Elephas maximus indicus: one gene and its partners. The protein of the gene in region 1 interacts with the protein of each later gene in a biochemical or structural test. Links are inferred from orthologs where the notes say so. Each region holds a gene or a part of one and is shown in the gene's direction. Other genes may lie near its edges. The genes, in order: TNFRSF13B, TNFSF13B and TNFSF13.

Region 1 (7,245 bases):
TACATAATAAAAGTTTTGGGGAAATTTTTGAAAATAAGAAAGTAGCTCTTCCCCACGAAAGGCTGAGGCTGTTATTGTAAAGAAACCACTGTTCGCTCTTTGAAGTGCGTCTTGCTAATGGCATCTAGTGTTTCTGAGAAATTAGTACACATCGAGGGGACGGGTACATTAGCAAAGGAGGAAATTCACTATAGAAAAATGAGTCGTTTATGTAAATTTCAATCATGAAAATCAGGGCTTTCACTGCATTTCTAAGAAATAGCCCTTTTTGGGTACTTTTGCTTTTGTCCTACCTGTAGTACTCCATTAGAGCAGGTTCAACAGCACGGCTTCAAAAAGGCCACAGAGGTGGCAGCAAGCCCCGGGAGAGATGGGAGGAGGGCGGGAAAGAGAGAAAAACACTCCCTGCTGCCTCCGAGAAGACCACGACACTTCGATCAAGTATTGCAGACCCTCTTTTGTAAATATGAACAATTTCATTGGGAAATATTGGTTAAAATGTAATATTCCCTTTGACCAAGTAATTCCACCTCAAGGAATGCAAGCCATTCAGTGAGATGCAAAGAAGATAAAAAACATGTTACGGGAGCATATGGGAAGTGTTGGGAACAGTGCCTGGAACATAATAAGTGCTGCACAAATGCTCCCTATCGTTACTATGCCTGCATTTTAAGAACTCTTATAAAAAGTAAGGACTGACTGGCAGGGTATACTGAGAAAAGAAGCGTGCTAAACAGTGTGTTCAGTCTGGTAATTGTGTAAAATGGTCGCGGGAAGGCAAAACATAGAAGTTACATACACGTATTTGAGAATGTGTGGGCTTGGCTGGAAAGGCGAGTGAACAAGAAAGATCTTCCAATAGCTGTTGCTGCTGAGCTGGGAAATGGCAAGCTAGGATTCCTGGAGGGGAGAGAAAGATACTTTTCACTACATTCGCTTTCATGCTGTTTAATTTTTTTTTTTTTTACCATGTGCATATTTTAACTATTTAAGTACATACGTCAATGGATCGGCTCCCAAATCTTGAGGTCTACCAGGTATCTTTACTCTGGGTCCCAAAGCTCTTTTGTCATCTCAACCATGGAGTTTAAAATTAGAACCTGTACCCCCTGGGAGATAGCCCAGAAAACGTTGGTTTCAGAATGAGGTTTGGAAGATTCAGAATGAGGTTCAGAAACCTCTGGCACCTGTTCTGAGGGAGCCCGGTGCAGAGAGGAATCTATTTTCATCAGACCTGAGGTCTGAGCATCCCTCGAACAACAATAGTCATCATTCCTTATGTTTGTGTGACAATGGGAGGGTGCCCACAAGTGCTCCCCTCTGGGTTGTCCTATTTGAGCTTTGCTTTGATCTCTTTGACACATCAGAAGAAAGTGCTCGTCTTAGAGTGAGGCCCACAGAGATTCAACAACTTGTCTGAAAAAGTCACGCAGCTTTGATCCATCTGGTCTAATAAAATCTATTATCAAGAGAAAGAAGCTGGAAAAGGGGAGCAGACGTGTTGTATGACCCCGTTTATACGAAGCTCAGGAACAGGCAAAGTGAATCCACGGTGAGTGAAGCAGGAGAGTGGCTATGTCTAGGGTGGGTGAAAGGGGGACAAGGGAGCATTCTGGGCCTGCGAACGTCCCACATCTTGGTGTCACAGACTCTAAGGTTCCTAAAGCTGTGCGCTTACAATGCCGGCACTTCGCTGCATGTAAATTATACCTCTAATTAGAGAAAATAAAAAGCAAATAAAACCCATTCTCTCTAAACCACATTTGAACTTCAGCAAGGTGTGATCGACGACGAGACATTAGGGAAACTACCGTTCAATTCTCAGCCACCCTAAAAGTCCAGCTGGACTTTGCTTGTTTTTCATTTCACATGCTAACACATGCTAACTCTAAAACACCCAAACACTATCACATTGACCCACAATCTGTGTGGGGTCAAAGGCAGCAATCAGCCCAGTAAGTCCGAGATTGGAAGGCATATTTCTGCTCCACAGACAGGAGTTTTCTAACAGGCAGAGCTAACCCCCAGGGAGCTGGCTTTTTGTGAGGTGGGCAGAGTCCCGACCCTAGGGGTATGCAAACAGAAGGTAAGGAGGGCCCAAGGAGGGACCAGCAGATGCTCTGGGCTCATCCAGTTCCAACAGGCAATGGATCTACCACCACCCCTTGCTCACAAATCCATCCCACCAGTCCAGCTTATATATCCACTGTGGCTTTTATGACTTTCACGACACAAATAAAACATGAGTATCTTTTCCAGGTAGAAATCAAACGGTTAAGAACAAGGCTAAAGTCCCTTTCACCATCACCTTCAATCCTAGCTCCTTCTTGCTCTACCCAAAATGGCCACTGTCATCCTGTGTGTCCTCCCAGACTGCTTCCTCCACATCGCATTCATCATAAGTAGTCACAGAACACACAATGGCCACATTGTGTGTGTGTGTGTGTTTACTAAAAGGCATTATGCTGTAAGTATCATGCTATATAGCTACCTTTCTTCACTCAACGATACGTCCTGGTGATCTTCTTATATCCCTTCCACTGGTCTACTTCACCTTTTAAACAATCGTGTGGAATTCCTCCTATGACCTGTGTACCTAGCTTCTTTAGCCGTCCTCTACCGGGTGGGCATTGAGATTGTTCCCAGTTTTCCACTATTACCAACAATGCCCCAGTGAAAGTCCATGTGTAGGGGCGGCGTTTCTCAGGGCGCTTATAGAGGACAGAAGGTTGCGGGTGGGTGAGCACAACCTGAGTTTTAACCAGCCTCCAAAATGGCATGCAGACCTGTTCTGTCACCAGCTGTGCATGGGTTCACCACTCCTGTGTCACCCAACCACCTGACGTCGACAGACTTTAAACTTTGCCAGCCCGATGGACGAGAAATAGTTTTTTCATTATTGCCTAAATTATATTTTTCTGATTATCGACAAGGTTGAGCACGTTAATGTACTTCCCCTCCTGCTCTGCTCCCTGCTATCCAAATTGGCCTTGTGTCCCGCCCTGCTTCCCCCACCTCTGCTCCAAGCCAGCTGCTCCTGGGAGGACTTCCCTCATTGCTCCCCACCTCTCTGGCTCTTGCCCATCCTCTGAGATTTCTTCCTCACTGCCTGGGGCTCCCTGGCTTCAAATCCTAGCACTTCAGCCTTGGCCGTTGCTATAGGGGGAGGGAGCGTTTCAGAGTAGTTGGGAAGACATAGAAATATACAGAAAGTCACAGTACGCTGCCTCATGGGCTGCAGTATATGAATCCTCATCATCGTTTATTGAGAGCTCACTGTATGCCAAGAGCTGGTTTTAAGAACTTGATGGTACTAACTCTTTCATCCTCATAAACCTATGAGAAAATGGAAGCACAGAGTTTAAGCAAATTGCTCAAAGCCACCAGTGGGTTGGGGACAGGGCCAAGATTCCAACCGAGGTCTCAGACTCTAGTATTGAGCCTTGAAAGTGCTTTGGTGGGGTAAGGGTAGGGCTAAGCAATCAGAGAATGGGCATCTGACGTGTCCCAGGGCAGTCAGGGAGGGCTTCCCAGGGGAGGTGATACCTCAACTGAGCCTAGAAGGAGCAGGGGAGGAGCTGGCCAGGCAATGCCATAGGAAAAGTTGGTCCAGGCAGAGGAAGGGGCCTGAGCAAATGCCCAGAGACTAGAGAGCTACTCAACCTGTTGGAGCTGGAGGTATGTATAAAAAAAAACCAAACCCAGTGCCGTCGAGTCGATTCCAACTCATAGCGACCCTAGAGAACAGAGTAGAACTGCCCCATAGAGTTTCCAAGGAGCTCCTGGTAGATTCGAACTGCCGACCCTTTGGTTAGCAGCCATAGCACTTAACCACTATGCCACCAGGGTTCCGGAGGTATGTATAAAAATATAGTAGGTGGCAAAAGGTGAGGCCCATGAGTGGGCAAGGGCCAGGGTTTGGAGAGTTGTGGGAGCTGTACCAGGGTTTGTATTTCATCCCAAAGCGAAGGCCAGCCTTCATTTCTCTACCTGCTTGGTGGGTAGCACACAGTAGGTGCCCAGCAGACGTCCTGATGGGAACCCTGAGTGTGAGGCAATGTCCACCCACCTTGGCTCCTGAGACTGAGCACGCAGGCGCAGGGAGAGGTGCTGATTTACATTTGGTAGGTTGCGGGGAAAACCCAGGAAGTACAGCCCAGGCACTAATCAAATCAAAGACTAATAATAAACATCCTGAGTAATGAGTGGCCTCGGCTGGAGCCGGCACGGCGTCCGGAGCGGGGCGGGCCAGGAGGAGCCAAGTGAGTAGCCTGCTAGGGCCTGCAGCTGGGGTCTGGGAGGCAGGGGCTGTGGGGGAGGAGGGTGGCTGGGCCTGGAGTGCCCAGGTGTGGGTTAGCAATGGGTGGCGGTGGCAAGGACAGCACACAGGGATGCTTGGGCAACCCTGAGCCTCCCCAAGCCCCTGCATGCTGACAGCCCCAAGTTTGGGGGCCTTCAAGGTGCAGGTATGAGGCTTGTATTCCAGGTAAGGAGGGGGCCGAGGCTTGAGGCTCAGTCATTGAGGCAGGAATTTCCACTGTGACCCTCCCTTCTGAGCCATGCAGAGGATCAAGAGCCAGGGCAGTTTTTGAATATTTTATTTTCGTGTTGAAATTTACACGCACCCCTCACCCAGCTTCAGCAATGAATCATTTATCCCGTAGAATTTTTACCATGGAGAGTTTTAGAGGCTTATTCAAAGGATAAATCACTAAAGCAGATGAAAGTCTGAGTCCTTCGTGGCACAGTTGGGACCTAGCCCCAGAGGGGCCGTCAGGGGCCCCAGGCCTCGCAGCAAGCATGCACGCCCTGGCCCCTGCTGCTGGCCCCTCTCCTCAGGCGGGAGCCTGTCTTTTCTCTGAGTCTCCTTTGTCTTCAGCAACCACACCCCCAGACATGCACCCAGGCAAGGGCTCAAACATAGAAAATTTCTGAGAGAGACAGTGGCCAGAGACTGCTGATGACGCAGCATGAAATCGCCCGGGTCCAGGCCCAGGTTCAGGGGACAGCCAGAATGCTGACTGCCTGGAGCAGCAGTGTCAGCTTTGGCCAGAGTCTGGAGACTTGCTTCTAAGGCTGCTGCCCACAGACTCACTGTGAGACCTCGGACAAACCCCTCCCCGCCACTGTAAAATAAAGATAAGCCCCTGTCCCACTAGATGTTCCTCAAAATCAAAAAAGTCCTTTGCATCTGCCAGGGCCCCTCTGGAAGAGTCCATAGCAAAGGCTCTGAGGAGGTCTGTAGTAAACAAACAAATAAAAATGCTTGGACTTCCTTGAACTGGGGTTTTCTAAGCTAATGTGACAGCAGGGCTCTTTGGTTAACAAGCCAAGGCCCTTCAGGAAACATGGTAGGTGCTCTGAGAATCCCCCCTCTTTGCTGCGCTGGCCTCACTGGTGCAGCCAAGTCTCAATCCCCATATCTCAGGCATCTGTCCTGTTTCTGAGTCCTGGCTGTGGCCCGGAGTCTGAACCAGCCACAGGCTCAGGTGTGCGAGAAAGAGTTTTCTCTGTTCCTGGTACAACAATGGAATTTGTTTCTCAAGCTTCCATTCTGTTTGGCTGGGGTCAGTCTTGGGGTTTTCTTGCTAGTCTGTGGGGTTGCAATATGCTTCTGGGATTTTACATGTTCCCCGGTGGTGGCAGTGGGAGAAGGAGCGGGACTGGGACCCTCTGGTTATCCGGGCACTGTGGGTGGTGCCTTTGTTGGCTTCTAGGCCATGAATGGAAAATTTGCTAAGGCTGTGTTTGTCCCATCTAATCTGCTGTCCACCCAGTCATGGGCTTGCACTGGGGTCGGGCATAGGCAACAGCTCTCTCCTTTTCCCCACTCAAATTGGGGAAGGAGCAGGGATCTATCTCTTTTTTCTTTCGTTTGTTTTTTAAATTTACTTTTTTAATAGAGAGTATAGTCTCACTGTTTGAAATATGTATGTGTTTATATATGTATATATATATATATATATATATACCCACACCCTTTGCTGTTGAGTCGATTCCGACTCACAGCAACCCCATAGGACAGAAAAAAACTGCCCCATAGGTTTCCAAGGAGTGGCTGGTGGACTTGAACTGCTGACCTTTGGTCAGCAGCTGTAGCTCTTAACCACTGCACCATCAGGGCTCCGTTTGAAGTATACCAAAAACCAAACCCACTGCCGTTGAGTTGATTCCGACTCATAACAACCCTATAGAAAAGAGTAGAACTGCCCCATAGAGTTTCCAAGGAGCGCCTAGCGCATTCGAACTGCTGAGCCCTTGGTTAGCAGCCATAGCACTTAACCACTACACCACCAGGGTTTCCATTTGAAGTAACACCAGGGTTTCCATTTGAAGTATAGAAGACATATAATCAAAGTCTCCTGTCTTAGTTATCTAGTGCTGCTGTAACAGAAGTACCACAAGCAGATGGCTTCAACAAACAAAAGTTTATTCACTCAAAGCCTAGTAGAAGTCTAAATTCAGGGTGTTAGCTCCAGGGGAAGGCTTTCTCTGTTGACTCTGGAGGAAGGTTCTTGTCATCAATCTCCCCCTGGACTAGGAGCTTCTCCGCACAGGAATCCTGGGTCCAAAGGATGCACTCTGCTCCTGGTGCTTCTTTCTTGGTGGCACGAGGTCCCTCCACTCTCTGCTCGCTTCCCTTTCCTTTTATCTCTTGTAAGATAAAAGGTGATGCAGGCCACACCCTAGAGAAACTCAGTTTACATTGGATCAGGGACGTGACCTTAGTAAGGGTGTAACAATCCCACCCTAACCCTCTTTAACATAAAATTACAATCACAAAATGGAGGATAACCCCACAACACTGGAAATCATGGCCTAACCAACTTTACACATATTTCTGGGGGACGCAATTCAATCCATGACCTCTTTCTTCCCTCCTTGTCCTCTATCTGCCGGGTTCCTGCCTCCCCTAGGATAAACAGCTTTGAAATATCACTTATATACCATAAAGTCCTTCTATTTCAAGTGTACAATTCAACGTTTTTTAGTATATTTACAGAGTTGTGCAACCATCGTCATATCTAATTTTAGAATATTTTTGTCACCCTAAAAAGAAACTTTGTCACTCTTCATTCCTTCTTGCTCTTCTCTCTGAAACCCTGGGCAACCACTGATCCTCTTCCTGTGTCTATAGGTTTGCCTATTCTGGACATTTCATAGAAATGGTATCATGCAACATGTAGCGTTTTCACTTAGCATAAGGTTTTTGGAGTTTGTCATGCTGCGGCTTATATCAATACC
Region 2 (7,052 bases), on another chromosome or scaffold:
AATATGTAAACAGTAGCTAATTACAGAGAGCAAACCCTGAATATATATATATATTTTACTCTAAAATATGTAGCTCAGGTATAGTAGCCTTTTCTCTGAGAATAAACTTGCGGTGTGTTATTCAATGAATATGAATATACTGTTGGTTTAACAGAATTTCAGTTAAATTATTATCAAACCATTTCCCCTACAGGAAGCGGTTCCTTGATTCAGGGAGTAATAGCTTCCTTTCGTTTGTCTAATGAGAAATTTAAGAGAGCATGAATGCCCCCTTAGTTTTCTGACTGCTTTTAGAGAAAATTTAATGGCGTGATCTTTGTAGAGGACATGCAAACTGTAGGGCAAGCTTGCCAGTGTCTGCTTCAGGGGGGAGCTTCACAGCCGTCTTCCCATCAGAGGAGCACTGGCCTATTCTTTGAGCAGAACTGCCCACTGCTTGAACCAAGCACTTGTTTTAAAATGGCCTGAACATACGCCAGCCAATGGCCCTCTCTTGAGTTGGTTTCACAGGAAGATATTTGCCAAATTGAGCAAAAGAGGGCAACATAGTTTTCTAATACAATTAAATTAATTCACTTTCCTTCAGAATTTTACTGGAGAGGATTGGCCAGGCAGAAGTGGGAGAGCACCCACTCACAGAGAAAAACAATGGCTCAATGGCTTATGAGTGGAAAGTAGAGAGTAACTGGTTTCTGTTACTGCCTTGAATCCTGAATTCATTTCTAGTTTTGGTTCTATATGTATCCATCTATATGCGTGTGGATATATAGACATACATATATATATATATATAAACCCAAATCCGTTGCTGTCGAGTCAATTTCAACTCATAGCAAGCCTATAGGACAGTGTAGAACCACCCCATAGAGTTTCCAAGGAGCAGCTGGTGGATCTGAGCTGCTGACCTTTTGGTTAACAGCTAAGTTCTTAACCGCTGCGCCACCAGGGCTTCCGTATGTATATATGTGTATGTGTATATATATATATACACACACGTATGTATATATACATATATATATATGCATTTATACATATATGGAAAACCTGATAGCGTAGCGGTTAAGAGCTACAACTGCTAACCAAAAGGTCAGCAGTTCAAATCTACCAGGCGCTCCTTGGAAACTCTATGCGGCAATTCAACTCCGTCCTATAGGGTCGCCATAAGTCAGAATCCACTCGACGGCAATGAGTTTTATAAATACAACCTGAATGAGTGTCAAGTCAGAAGTGTGTAATAAAATGCTCAAATGAATTCTATTTTTTAATTACAATGTTATCCAATATGCCTCACCCTGATTAACCTAGAAACAAGAACTGTGACAAAAGAATTGTTTTATGTGATGTCTGACTCCAAAAAGTTTACATACTGATAAAAGAAGACTTCTACCTGAACAATTAGAGAACAGCTTATTTGGGGCACCAAGTTAGTAACAAGATCTCTGGAACTTGTGGAAGCCAAGGGAATAAGTAACAATGCCAATAGACAGGTAAAAACTAATAAGTCTGATGACATCGTGCAAGAGTAGGGTAGCTAGGAAATGGGAAAACATTGGAGGGTAACTTGGAGAAAATTGGTAAGACTGAAAGTGTGCTTACCCCACCTGAACCTGACCAAACCCATTGTCGTCCAGTAGTTTCTGACTCATAGGGACCCTATAGGACAGAGTAGGATTGCCCCGTAGGATTTCCAAGGCTGTAATTTTTTTTTTTTTATCGTACTTTAGATGAAGGTTTACAGAACAAACTAGTTTCTCATTAAACAGGTAGTACACACATTGTTTTATGACATTGGTTAACAACCCCATGACCTGTCAACACTCTCCCTTCTCAACGTTGGGTTCCCTATTACCAGCTTTTCTGTTCTTTCCTGCCTTCTAGCTCTTGCCTCTGGACTGGTGTGCCCCTTTAGTCTCCTTTTATTTTATGGGCCTGCCCAATCTTTGGCTGAAGGGTGAAGCTCAGGAGTGACTTCATTACTGAGCTGAAAGAGTGCCTGGGGACCATACTCTCAGGGCTTCTCCAGTCTCTGTCAGGCCAGCAAGTCTGGTCTTTTCTTACCGAGTTAGAATTTTGTTCTGGATTTTTCTCCACCTCTGTCTGTGACCCTCTATTGTGATCCCCATTAGAGCAGTCAGTGGTGGTAGCCAGGCACCCATCTCGTTGCACTGGACTCAATCTGGTGGAGGCTGTGGTAGATGTATGTGGCCCATTAGTCCTTTGGACTAATCTTTCCCTTGTATCTTTAGTTTTCTTCATTATTCCTTGCTCTCGAAGAGGTGAGACCATTGGAGTATCCTAGGTAGCCACACACAGGCTTTTGAGACCCCAGACGCTACTCACCAAGGCAGAATGTAGAACATTTTCTTTATAAACGATGCCATGCCAATTGAGCTAGATGTTCCCTGAGACTGTGGTCCCCACGGCCAAGGCTGTAATCTTTATGGGAGCAGACTGACACAACTGTCTCCCACAAAGCAACTGGTGGGCTCAAACCACCAACATTTCAATCAGCAGCTGAGTGCTTTACCACTGCACCACCGGTGCCCTTGTTTCCCCTACATCAGGGATTTATTTTGGAAATTCTTTCAAATGTTACAAGGAGACATATATAAAAATGCCTATTACAGCAGTATTTGTAATAAAAATATTACATTTATATTTTGAAAGTAAGAAGTAAAAATGAATGAAAAGGTTTTTGCATCCTCAATGCTGTCCGTGCCTAAGTTACAATCCCAAGAGAGAGTGACCATTATTATCTGATTTTACAGATGAGGAAGCTTAATCACAAAAACGTTTAATTTGCCTAAGGTGAATAAGTGGTAGAGCCAAGATTAGAACCCTGGATTCAGGGATCCGAATCCTTCCCTACATTAATTTTCTTTTCTTCACAACAGCATAGAAATGCGAATGAGATAGAGTTAAGGCTTAGCGGTCTTAGCATACAGGGGGGTAGTGCCTACCCCAGGGCTTGGTAAGGGCTCAATGATATTTGTTGAGTGATGAATCAATATTAGGTGCTGAGGACAGAACAGCCAGAAACTGGGAAATGGACAGGGAACAGAGATCAAGACAAGGCAGGACTGGAATGGGCGCAATAGTCTTGGGCAGCGTCACCATGTCTGACAATAAGGTGAGTTTGAAAGGAAAGTGTCTCTTGTTTGAGTCGGGACCGTTTTCATGTGCGTTAGATTGGGCCAGAGTCAATACGACGTGTACCTAGTAGATAATGAGTCGGAATGTGCTCGACAGCAATGTGTTTGGTTTGAGTGTTTTTTTTTAGTAGCTAATTTTTTTAGTGTACTTTAAGGAAAGAATTGTAAGGGTGGCATTGAGCTACTGGGAATTGGAGATAAGGCCAGCTTCATCTTAAAACAGTATCAGACTGAGCTGGGACTTGAAACTTGCGAAGCAGAGGTGGAAGGAGACCTATCAGGAGGTCAGATTGCATGGATCATTGATCACCTAGCCAGGGAGCCTTAGAAGGAAAAAATATATATATATATGTAGGTTTCCTTTAAAAATGCATTCCCCCTCACATCTAATCTAAATCGGTTTCTAAAATTTGTTAGTCACATTCTTTGGATTACATTGTTATAATAAGAAGAACAGAACAATACCCAGCTGGTTTTCTTTCCTCTTTCAAGGGTCCTTCATTTTACTTCGTAGTGGACAACTGTTAATAAATCCATAACCCCATGTAAGGACAAGCCACTGCTCAAGCACTTAGCTTATCTGACCTTCACATTAATTGCTTTTATTACGCCAGCAGGAACATTTTATGATATTTTTCCTCTTCCTTCCAAAGCCACATGGCCCCAACCAACACAGTTCTCTCATAATGCCCGGGGTGAGCTTCTTAAGCATGTGTATAATCTGACAAGTTATCTCTTGCATATCCCAATCCAAACTCAAAGTTTAGCTGGTAGATTTAGGGGCCCGTTTGTGTATGAGTGTTCTGAGATGCCAATAAAATTCTTACAAAAACTGAAACTGAAATGAGGAAGACTGATTGAGCAATCCATTAGAAGGGTGAATGCCAGTAAAACCTATTGTACCGTAGGGGCAGAGATGCAGAAGGGAAGAAAGAAGAAAACTCAGGAGAACTCTCCTGCTTGGGGGAGTCAAGCTCTGTGATGTGTTAAATGTAGGACATCAACAAACACAGATAACAGGAAATGATCCATTCCCTGTGGTCACTTACTCTGAAGGCCCTAACCTTCAAAGCTCAAGTAGCGAAATGGATGACTGCACAGACAGGGAGCAGTTACTCCTTTCTTCTTGCCTTGCGAAAAGAGAAGAAATGAAACTTAAGGAGTGTGTTCCCATCCTCCCTCACAAGGAAAGCCCCTCTGCTTGGTTCTCTAAAGACGGAAAGCTCCTGTCAGTGACCTTGCTGCTGGCCCTGCTCTCCTCCTGCCTGACAGTGGTGTCTTTCTACCGAGTGGCCACCCTGCAAGCAGAGCTGCTGAGCCTCCGGGCGAAACTGCAGTTCTACCAAGCTGAGCAACTGCCAGCACCCCCCAAAGCAGAAGCAGGAGCCCCCACGGCAGCTTTGAGGGAAACTCCAGCTGACACCCCCGGACTGCAAGTGAGTTACCAGCAGCTGCAGCCCCAAATCTTCCTACACAGCTGCCTCTCCCTGACCTCAGACGTCTTTTCAATAACTTGGGGTTTTTCTGTCAATAGGAGATCTTTGCACCACCAGCCCCAGGAGACAGCAACTCCAGTCAAAGCAGCAGGAGCAAGCGTGCTGTTCAGACTCCAGAAGAAACAGGTAGGTTTTGGGGACAGATGCGTTTACTGGTTTAGGTGTTAACATCAGATTTGGGGGTACAGGGGTGTGCTTAATCTCTCCAAGCCTCTTAAATAGAGACTATGCAATTTCTGTTAAAACCAGACTCGGCTTGATAGCAAAGCCCTAGCAAGGGCAGATTTAATAGGGTGCACGGCGTGTTCTGTCTTCCAATGAGCAGAGTTTTGTCTACAGAAGTATTTATCCGAGCTGTACTTGAAGCACAGAGGAGAAAACAAGGAACGCAGAGTTTCCTCAAACAGACACTACACCCCTATGCCAGAAGCATCGCCCATCCCTCCAAAAATAAAATCTCTCCACTTCATGTCACTTTAGAATTATGTTTTGTTTACCTGAGTCATTCTGTTAAAGGCAAACATTTCCTGAGGGGTACTATTTGAAAGCAGGTGAAGGTTATACAGTGGGAGGCCGTGTATGTCTGTGCTTTAATTTTGTTTCTCATTTTTAAAACATTTATATATATACATGTATACATATACATTATATGTACCTATATATTGTGTGTGTGGGTATATATATAAACCCACTGCTGTCGAGTCGATTCCAACTCATAGAGACCCTATAGGACAGAGTAGACCTGCTCCATAGAGTTTCCAAGGAGTGCTTGGTGGATTCGAACTGCTGACCTCTTGGTTAGTAGCCATAGCACTTAACCACTATGCCACCAGGGCTTCCATATATGTATATATACACTGATTTTAAAACATTTTGTTAAGGTATGCCCTTCCGAGAGCATGCATTTATACTTTTCTTGTGATAGTTCTTTTGTGATTTTTGTCTTTCTTTATGTTCCACAGGATTTATAGATTTATAAAATCTCAGAGTCAGGAGGGAGTACTAAAGTGATCAGTCCTAGTTCCTTTACTTCCTAGGTTAAGGAAGAGTACTGGATTGTATTAATATTACAATTTAGGAAGTTAACAAATCCCTGATATTACCTCTCTTTGATGTTGAAAGAACGTTTTTTGTGTGTGTGTGTTTGTGTGTGTGTGCACCTAGAATGTGCAGGCATTAGAAGAGGTGTTTTCACCCATACTATTTCATTTAACCCTCGCAGTGACTGTGTGGGGTAAACAAAACACATGTAATTATTTATTTACTTTTTTTTCTTGTGAGGAAATGTGTGTGAGAGACCTAGTCAGTGGTAGACTAGGGAAGGACTCTTTATTACATAGCCATCCACCCACTCACCCACCCACCCACCCACCCACACACCCACCCACCCACACATACACACAGTGCTTTGACTATAAATCTATTTCTTCTTTTACTCTATGACTTGCTCATGAAAAAATTTCTCCCTTATTTTATAAAATCAAAACATTATGTACCTAATTATCATACCTTTGTGCCAATTATCAGTTAACACTTGGATTTAAGCACTTTTAAACTAGGAAACACAGACACTGTTGTGACTTTAACAGGTCAATTATTTTCATATTTTATCGTCTATATTTTCTACAAAGTTAAAAATAATAATGTATATATACTGTTTTATGTTTTTTGTTTTCACTTATCATCATACAATAGGACTTTTCCCTATGTCTAAGTGATTCTCATACATGTACATTAATTTATTTTTTATTCTACTATTACTATGGTTGTTTTTATTTTTATTTTTTTAGAGTCAGAATCGACTTAACAGCAGTGGTTTTTTTTTTTTTTTTTTGGTTGTTGTTATGCTGGTTGTTTTTATTTTTTTATTATGACAGAACATGTTAAAATTTTTATGCAGATATATTATGCTTCTGAGAATTATATGTTCAATATAAATTCGGTACCGTGGAATTTCTGAGCTGCAGGGAATGAAGATCTTTACCACCCTTGCAAGCTATTGCCACATTGCTTTCAAAAAGAGTCGTAAATGCAAGTAACAGCAAATTAATCCACTGCTTTCTGTACATGCTTTCTAGATTTTTATCTTTTAAAAGTTATTTTCTCTGGTTTAGTGGTTGTACGACAGTATCTGAAATTTGTTTTAACTTGTTTGCTTACTAACAAAAATGAACTTCCTTCCACATATTTTAATTACTTCAAATTTTGTCTTCTGCAGATTTTATAACTTCCCCCATTTGTCTGGCTTAATGTTTTACAGTTTTGAATGAACTATTTATATATTAGACGTATTGTTTATCAAAAATTTGGTGTAAATATTTCCTCTGAGACATTAAAGCTAAAAATATTCTTTTGTGATCTCTTAAATAGTCTGTCCTACTAATATTTTCTCCTCTGGCTTTTT
Region 3 (7,275 bases), on another chromosome or scaffold:
GCTAGAAGGGCAGGATGGGGCATAAGGCTGGAGAAGAGGACAGGAGCCAGGTCACAGGTGGGATATGAAGTTAATCTAAGGTGAACCATTCGAAGGATTAAAGCAAAGAGAAGCAGCTCAGATCACTCTGACTGTGTGTAAGGAATAACCAGGAGGAGGTAAGGTTGGAAACAGGAAGTCCCAGTGAGAAATGGCAGGGACCAGGCTGGCAGGGGGGATGGGGCAGAGTTATGTAGGGGGCAGGATTGATAGGAGCTGGAGATCAATGAATAAAGTTGGTAAAGGAGAAGGAGGCTTGGGTACCCGGTGGGTGGAAGACTATGAGCTCGAAGTGGAATACAGACAGTAAAGCAAGTTTGAGGGGGATGGGGAGGAGACAAGTTCAGTTCGGGTCCAGATGAGTTTGAGGAGCCCATGGCTAGTCAGTTGTATGTAGCCTGTTGTACATAGGGTCTCTGTGAGTCAGAGCTGCCTCAAAGGCACCTAATAGCAACAACAACGTGGCTAGTCAAATGGTGGTATTAGCAGGAAGAGAAAGAACAAGAAATAATGGAGTTAGGCATCTGGAGTCTGCACGATGTAGATCATGGTAAACCCATGGGTGGGAATGAAAATGTCCAGTGAGAGTACCTGGCTTGAAAACATGTCAAGGACAGAGCCCAGGGGCTGGTAGAGGGAGAGGGGCTGGAGAAGGCAACTGCAGAGACTCCTTGAGGCCCAGCCAAGGAGAACCGGGAACAGGCTGTGGCCATGTCCAGCATGTTCCTAGCAGTGTTTACTGCGTGCCTACCTGGCGCCTTAGGGTAGACAGTGGTGAATAAGACAAGGTTGTCCCTGCCCTATGAGTCTGAATTGACTTCATGGCAGTGGGTTTGGTTTTTTGGTTTTGTCTCTGCCCTGGTAGGGGAATCACATCCCAACTGAACACATACATAAATGAAATAATTTCTGATGTTGATGACTGAGCTGAAACAGGGTGATGGGAAGAGATTAATGGAGGCAGGAGTGGGCCTGGCTATTTTATACTGGTGGCCACAGAAGGTCTCAGACCGGCTGACACGTGAGGGATAGAAGGTGCCAGCTCAGGGAAGAGTGATGTGGGGAGAGGGGAGAGTAGTAAGAAGCTCATTAGGGAGAATGGGTTTGGTGTCTGGCAGGTACAGAAAGGCGGCCAGAGTGTCTGGGCTATCGTGAATTGGGAAGTGTGTGAGATTGAACTGGAGAGGCTGAAAAGGGTGGACCATGGAAGACCTGGGAAGGCACTTCTTTTCTTGTAATTTACAATTACCCTAGCTCTAGATTTTTTTTTTTTTTTTTTTTTTGGGTGAGAGCTTTATTGAGAGAGAATTCATATCCCACACAGTTCACCTATTTTAAGTGTATAATTCAGGGGTTTTAGTTTTTAGTATAGTCACAGAGTTGTGCAACCATCACCACCATCAATTTTAGAACATTTTCTTCACCTCAAAAACAATCCCCATACCCTTTAGCTAGAGTCCCTGGGTGGTGCAGATGGTTAAGTGCTTGGTTACTAACCTAAAGGTTGGCGGTTCAAATCATCCCAGAGGCACCTCAGAAGAAATGTCTGACAATCTACTTCTGAAAGATCACAGCCATTGAAAACCCTATGGAGTGCAGTTCTACTCTGACACACATGGGGTCGCCATGAGTCAGAATTGACTTGACGCAGCTGGTTTGGTTTTTACCCTTTAGCTATCACCGTCCAATTCCCCTATTCCTCCCTACCCCAGGCCTACTTTCTGTCTTTAGGAAATTACCTACTGTGGGCATTTCGTACAGATGAAATCATACAACGTGGCTTTTTGTGACTGGCCTCTTTCACTCAGCATATTGTTTTCAAGGTTTACCCACGTTTGTAGCGTGTGCCAGTACTTTATTCCTTTTTATGGATGAATAATACTGTTTTCCACTGTATGAGTTTTTGACATTTCATTTATCCATTCATCAGTGGCAGACATTTCTGTGTCATTTTATTTGTAATTCTAATAATTCAAATAACGTATGAATATAATTTCAAGGTAAAAAGGCAAGCAATGTAGACATAGATGAGGTAAAATATAAAAGTCAAGTATTAACTATAAAAGTCCCCCCTCTTCTTCAATCCTACTCTTCTCCCCAGAAGTGACCACTGACGGTAACTTGTTCTGTATCTTTCCGGTCCTTTCGTCTGCATGTTCAATCATACACACGTTAGATTTCTACACAGAACTATTATACTTTGGGCTCCATGGGAATTGGCTCCTCCTTTTGCCCTGGGTGATCTTTTTATCTTCTGGGTAAAGTGGGCCCCAAATGTTTATAGAGTCAGCGGATCCCTGGGGAGTGTGGGGGAGCTTTCCTCATCTCTGAACATCGATGTTCAGGTGTGGACGGGACGGTGAGTGGCTGGGAGGAGGCCAAAATCAACAGCTCCAACCCGCTGCGCTATGACCGGCAGCGTGGGGAATTCAGAGTCACTCGGGCTGGGCTCTACTACCTGTACTGTCAGGTAAGCCCCACCTGGCTCCATGGCCAAAGCAGTAAATGAGGGAGAAGGTTTGGTTCCGGAGAGGGGGGGTAAGCTAGAGGCTGGAGAGGGAGAGCTTGGGGCTGGAGGCGGGGATGGGCTACCTGGGTCTCTCAGGAAATTTGAAACTGAGCTGAGGGCAAGCAAAGGCCTGGACTCTGCCTGCCCTCCCCCTGCCCCAGGTGCACTTTGATGAGGGAAAGGCTGTCTACCTGAAGCTGGACTTGCTGGTTGATGAGGCCCTGGCCCTGCGCTGCCTGGAGGAGTTCTCCGCCACCGCGGCCAGCTCCCTTGGGCCCCAGCTGCGCCTCTGCCAGGTGTCTGGGCTGTTGCCCCTGCGGCCAGGGTCCTCTCTTCGGATCCGCACCCTCCCCAGGGCCCATCTCAAGGCTGCCCCTTTCCTCACCTACTTCGGACTCTTCCAAATTCACTGAGGGGCTCTGGTCTCAAAGTTCTCCCAGGCTGCTGGCTCCCCACAGCACTCCAGCCCCAAACTGCTCCTCACTCCAGACCTCCTCCCTCTGGAGGCCTCGGGCTTGTTCACTTGTTGCCATCCCACATACATAGCCCCATTCTTCCCTTACAGTCTCGGGCTCTCCACCTCACAAAGCCCTGGCCTTTCTACTCCCCCATTTATCTCCTGACTCCCACCCTGACCACGGCCCCCAGGACACTGTGTTTACTGTACTCTCTGGGCAAAGATGGGTCCAGAGGACCCCTCTTCAGGCACTAATCGGGGCTGGACCTGGTGGCAGGAAACCGAAGCGACTGGGACAAGGCCAGGTGTCCCCAAATGTGAGGAGTAGGAGACCAAGACCAGCTCCACCTTGATGTGTCCCTGTGGATTTTTAGAACAGATATTATTTTATTATTATTGTGACAAAATGTTGATAAATGGATATTAAAGAAAATAAGTCATAGTCTCTCTCTTTATTGGGGCCTTGGGGGGGTATTCTAAGGGTAGCCGAAGACCATGGGAAGCGGTCTGGACTTCGGGGCCTACATGCCTCCTGCCCTGAGGCTTGAGCCAGAAGAAGAAAGGCCAACCGCCTAGGAAGAAATCACTCTATGCCAAGGTGCTGCCAAACTGGCCTCATTTGCCTAGGAGGCGGGCTTCCTCCTGCGGGGGAATCCCTGGCTGGGAGGAGCAGGGCCCTTCCTCTTGGCCATCTGGGGACCTTTGGCAGAAGCTGGCGAAGGTCCTGGCTGGGATTTGGGGTGGGAGCAGGCCTGAAGGGGGCCCAGGACACAGGCACACGGACCCTGGGTCCAGAGAGGAAGCCTACAGTGGCTGGAGTGCTTGTGCCTGTCTGTTTCTCTTTCTCTTTTCATCCATAGCATTATGTAAGAGTTTTTCTCAGGAAACAGGAAGTCTCTTGCTTGCCAAGTTCAGCACAGGGAGCAGTACAGGCCTTATTCCAACACACCCGGCCCGGCCTTAACCCCAGGGCTCAGCCAGTCTCTGGCTTTCGCGACCCTGGTTCTCCTCCCCACCCACCCATACCCCTCCTGCCCCACCTCAGTCACCTGTAGAAACTTCCCCAGAGATCTCCCCCACACCTTAGCCAGATGGTCTACTGTCCTCGCCCCTGACCCTCAACACTGCCAACTTGTCCCTCCATCCCTCCTCCTGGCACCATGCCCCAGAGCCGCCAGCCCTCCCTCCCCCACTTCTGGGGCCGCCCCGGGCTCCTGCGCTCAGGCCGCTCCCCCTGGGTGTCACTGGCAGCCCTGTCCTTCCGAGAGAGACCCACTCCAGATTCTCCTCAGGCTGGGGGAGGGGGATAGGGGTCTGAGAGGCAACACTGGCCCCACAGAGGGGTGCCAGGCGTACCAGACAGTACCCCTAGCTTGCTTTCCTCTTCCCTCTTTTTATCCTCACGTTGTTTTTATTTCTCCTTTGCGTAACACCCTTCTTCCCTTCTGCACCGGTGCCCGCACCCCCATCCTCGCTGTCACCTCCCTGCCACCCCACTTCTGAGGCCACGGCTGTCAGCAGTATCCCCAGCTCATGCTGGCCTCGTCTCCTTCCTCAGTAGCCCCCCGGGGCGACACGGGCGGCCCAGCTCGAGACCCGGCACTCTCAGTTGCCCTCTGGTTGAGTTGGGGGGCAGCTCTGGGGGCTGTGGCTTGCGCCATGGCTCTAATGATGCAACAAGCAGAGCTGCAAACCCTAAGGAGAGAGGTGAGCCGGCTGCAGAGGACCGGAGGACCCTCCCGGAAGGGGGATGGGCAGGCCTGGCAGAGCCTCTGGGAGCAGGTGAGTGAGGGGAGAAGGGTGTCTGGGAGAGAAAGATGGGTGGCAGAGGGTTTCCGGGCTTCTTCAGTCCTGTCTCCTGGTCTGCAAAGCTACAAGAGGGTGTAAGAGAGGGTCCCGGGTCTGGAAGTCAAGGGAGTGGCCATTCCAGGAAAGGAAACTGTTAAAGATTAATGGTTCTCATACCTAACAGATCCTGGAGGACAGCCAGCACCAAGACTTAGGGTGCTGGGGAAAGGTGCATGAAAGAAGTGAGGCATTCGTGGGGTGGGAGGGAGGGCTGGAAGGAAGGCTGGCTGGGACCCTTGCATCTTTGTCTAACCCTGACCCTCTTTCCATGAACAGAGCCCTGAGGTCCTGGAAGCCTGGGAGAATGGGGAGCAATCTCGGAGGAGGAGAGCAGTGCTCACCCCAAAACAGAGGAGTGAGGCCCCAGGGGTGCCGCAGGGGTGGGAGGTGATCAAGCAGCATGGAATGGGGAGAGGGGAGAATGAGAATAGGGCAGCAGGGGTAAGTGGGCCCTGCTGAGATTTCTTCTTCTCTCCTCAGAGAAGCACTCAGTCCTGCACCTTGTTCCCGTTAACATCACCTCCAAGGGTGAGCACTGTTTTAAATAATGGCTTTGCGGGAGAGGCAGGAACTGGGGGATTTGGGGCTGGCATCTGGGTCCAAGTGAATCCATCAAGTGTCTGAGACTGCACAGAAACCCTGACTGCCACACTTCTCACCTCCAGAGGACTCTGATGTGACAGAGGTGATGTGGCAACCAGCTCTCAGGCGTGGTAGAGGCCTGGAGGCCCGCGGATATGTGGTCCGAGTCTGGGAGGCTGGAATTTATCTGCTCTATAGCCAGGTAACTGGCATACCCTGTACCTCACCTGGGGATCCGGAGGTCTCTTCCCTGTTCTCCCACAGCCTGGATGGCCCGGTCCCTTTGTCCATTCCAAGCTTAGAAGACCGTTCTTCATTCCTTGCCTCAGGGCTCCTGAGACCTCCTAGACCTGGGCCATGCCATTCCGTTTTATCTCCTCCCTGCCCTACCAGGTCCTGTTCCACGATGTGACTTTCACCATGGGTCAGGTGGTATCTCGGGAGGGCCAGGGAAGGGAGGAGACTCTATTCCGATGTGTACGAAGTATGCCCTCCAACCCTGCCCGGGCCTACAATAGCTGCTACAGTGCAGGTGAGAAGCATGCAGGCAGGGGAGTGGATGAGAGGAGAGCGGGACAGGTCTCTGATCTAGTGGGACTGATGCAGGGCTCTATGATTGGGGTGGGAGCCCTAGGTGGAGAGGCAGTTGTGAGGTTCTTGCAGGAAGCAGAGGAAAGGTGGAGCTGCAGAAGGGAGGGGGAGACATCAGACCACATGGAACGATGGCTGTGCCTCACTGAGCATCATTTTTCTCCCCTTTCTTAGGTGTCTTCCATTTATACCAAGGGGATATTCTGAGTGTCATAATCCCCCGGGCAAGGGCCAAACTTAGCCTCTCTCCACATGGCACCTTCCTGGGGCTTGTGAAACTATGATTGTGTTATGAAAGGTGGGTCTGAGCTTGGAAGACCAGGGTGGGTATATGCTGGAGATAACCAAGAGCTGACCAGAGGACTGGGAATGAGCAGGAACAGAGGCCTTTTCCTGACTGTGACTTCATGACTCTCCGGTCCTCCCTTTTCCTTCCTTCCCCACTCCCAGGCCTATGATTTCTTGGATATTAAAGAGCTAGAAGATCTTGCTTTTATGCCCCGTCCAGGGGGGAAAGGGGTCAATCATTGTCCTGACCTGCTATGGGTCTCACTGGATGCTTCCGGAACGGCACCACCATCTAGCGGCAGTTTGAGGGAATCATCCTGCCTGTTGGTAGAGGTCCACGAAGCCTCTCTCCCAACACTTAGGAAAGCCCCTGGTGCCCTATGCCACACCCCTTTCGAGGTATCCTGCCTCTTCGCACCGTAAGAAGCCTCGTCCTTACACTACCGGCTACTACGTTCCATACACTTTCTCCTCTCCATCTACTGAGCATCAGTTTCCATCCCTATCTCCAGAGGTGCATTTCTTATGCACTCCTTTGCTGGGGGTACCCGACGACGGTCCCTTCGCAGCCACATTACTTTTCGGGTCCCAAATTTTAGCTTTCATGCTCTCCACTCCCTTGGCGTGACAGGCCACTCCAAGCCCCTTTGGCCTAGGGTGGGTCCCTGGGGAGCCCTGGATGGATCGCACGGCCGGGTGCTGGTCTTGCCTTACTCCTCGGAGCGGTTCTTTCTGCTCAAGCCTTGCTCAAAGTTAAATAAAAGACAATGAATGATAGATACCCCGGATTCATTTCCCCCACTGCCTCGCCTCAGTCCTATTCCTGTACCGGCATTTCCCTGTCCTCCCAACTTTCCTCTCGCGCGCCCTACTGGACGAAGGTATTGGGGGCCCCCAGGATCAGAACCCCACCAGCGCAGACAAAGTAGGGGTAAGTAGCGGGTCGTGAGGCGGTTTCTGG

The links.
Region 2: the proteins of TNFRSF13B (region 1) and TNFSF13B form a complex in vitro, tested with the Homo sapiens proteins (3 studies listed by BioGRID and IntAct, with this or other methods). The link is inferred for Elephas maximus indicus from reciprocal best matches to the Homo sapiens genes TNFRSF13B and TNFSF13B.
Region 3: the proteins of TNFRSF13B (region 1) and TNFSF13 form a complex in vitro, tested with the Homo sapiens proteins (2 studies listed by BioGRID and IntAct). The link is inferred for Elephas maximus indicus from reciprocal best matches to the Homo sapiens genes TNFRSF13B and TNFSF13.

The regions. Positions count from the first base shown.
Region 1 is NC_064820.1:215,783,480-215,790,724, forward strand, and holds the start of TNFRSF13B (tumor necrosis factor receptor superfamily member 13B), read left to right. Parts: upstream 1-4,168; 5' UTR 4,169-4,201; coding exon 4,202-4,262; intron 4,263-7,245. UniProt on the Homo sapiens protein: Receptor for TNFSF13/APRIL and TNFSF13B/TALL1/BAFF/BLYS that binds both ligands with similar high affinity. Mediates calcineurin-dependent activation of NF-AT, as well as activation of NF-kappa-B and AP-1.
Region 2 is NC_064841.1:73,993,697-74,000,748, forward strand, and holds the start of TNFSF13B (tumor necrosis factor ligand superfamily member 13B), read left to right. Parts: upstream 1-4,047; 5' UTR 4,048-4,237; coding exon 4,238-4,588; intron 4,589-4,686; coding exon 4,687-4,774; intron 4,775-7,052. UniProt on the Homo sapiens protein: Cytokine that binds to TNFRSF13B/TACI and TNFRSF17/BCMA. TNFSF13/APRIL binds to the same 2 receptors. Together, they form a 2 ligands -2 receptors pathway involved in the stimulation of B- and T-cell function and the regulation of humoral immunity.
Region 3 is NC_064837.1:13,215,061-13,222,335, reverse strand, and holds TNFSF13 (tumor necrosis factor ligand superfamily member 13), read left to right. Parts: upstream 1-4,200; 5' UTR 4,201-4,538; coding exon 4,539-4,787; intron 4,788-5,129; coding exon 5,130-5,208; intron 5,209-5,333; coding exon 5,334-5,381; intron 5,382-5,518; coding exon 5,519-5,637; intron 5,638-5,828; coding exon 5,829-5,967; intron 5,968-6,200; coding exon 6,201-6,310; 3' UTR 6,311-6,324; exon of another isoform or gene 6,325-6,476; 3' UTR 6,477-7,091; downstream 7,092-7,275. Other genes in the region: TNFSF12 (tumor necrosis factor ligand superfamily member 12), read left to right, coding at 2,385-2,509, 2,710-2,961. UniProt on the Homo sapiens protein: Cytokine that binds to TNFRSF13B/TACI and to TNFRSF17/BCMA. Plays a role in the regulation of tumor cell growth. May be involved in monocyte/macrophage-mediated immunological processes.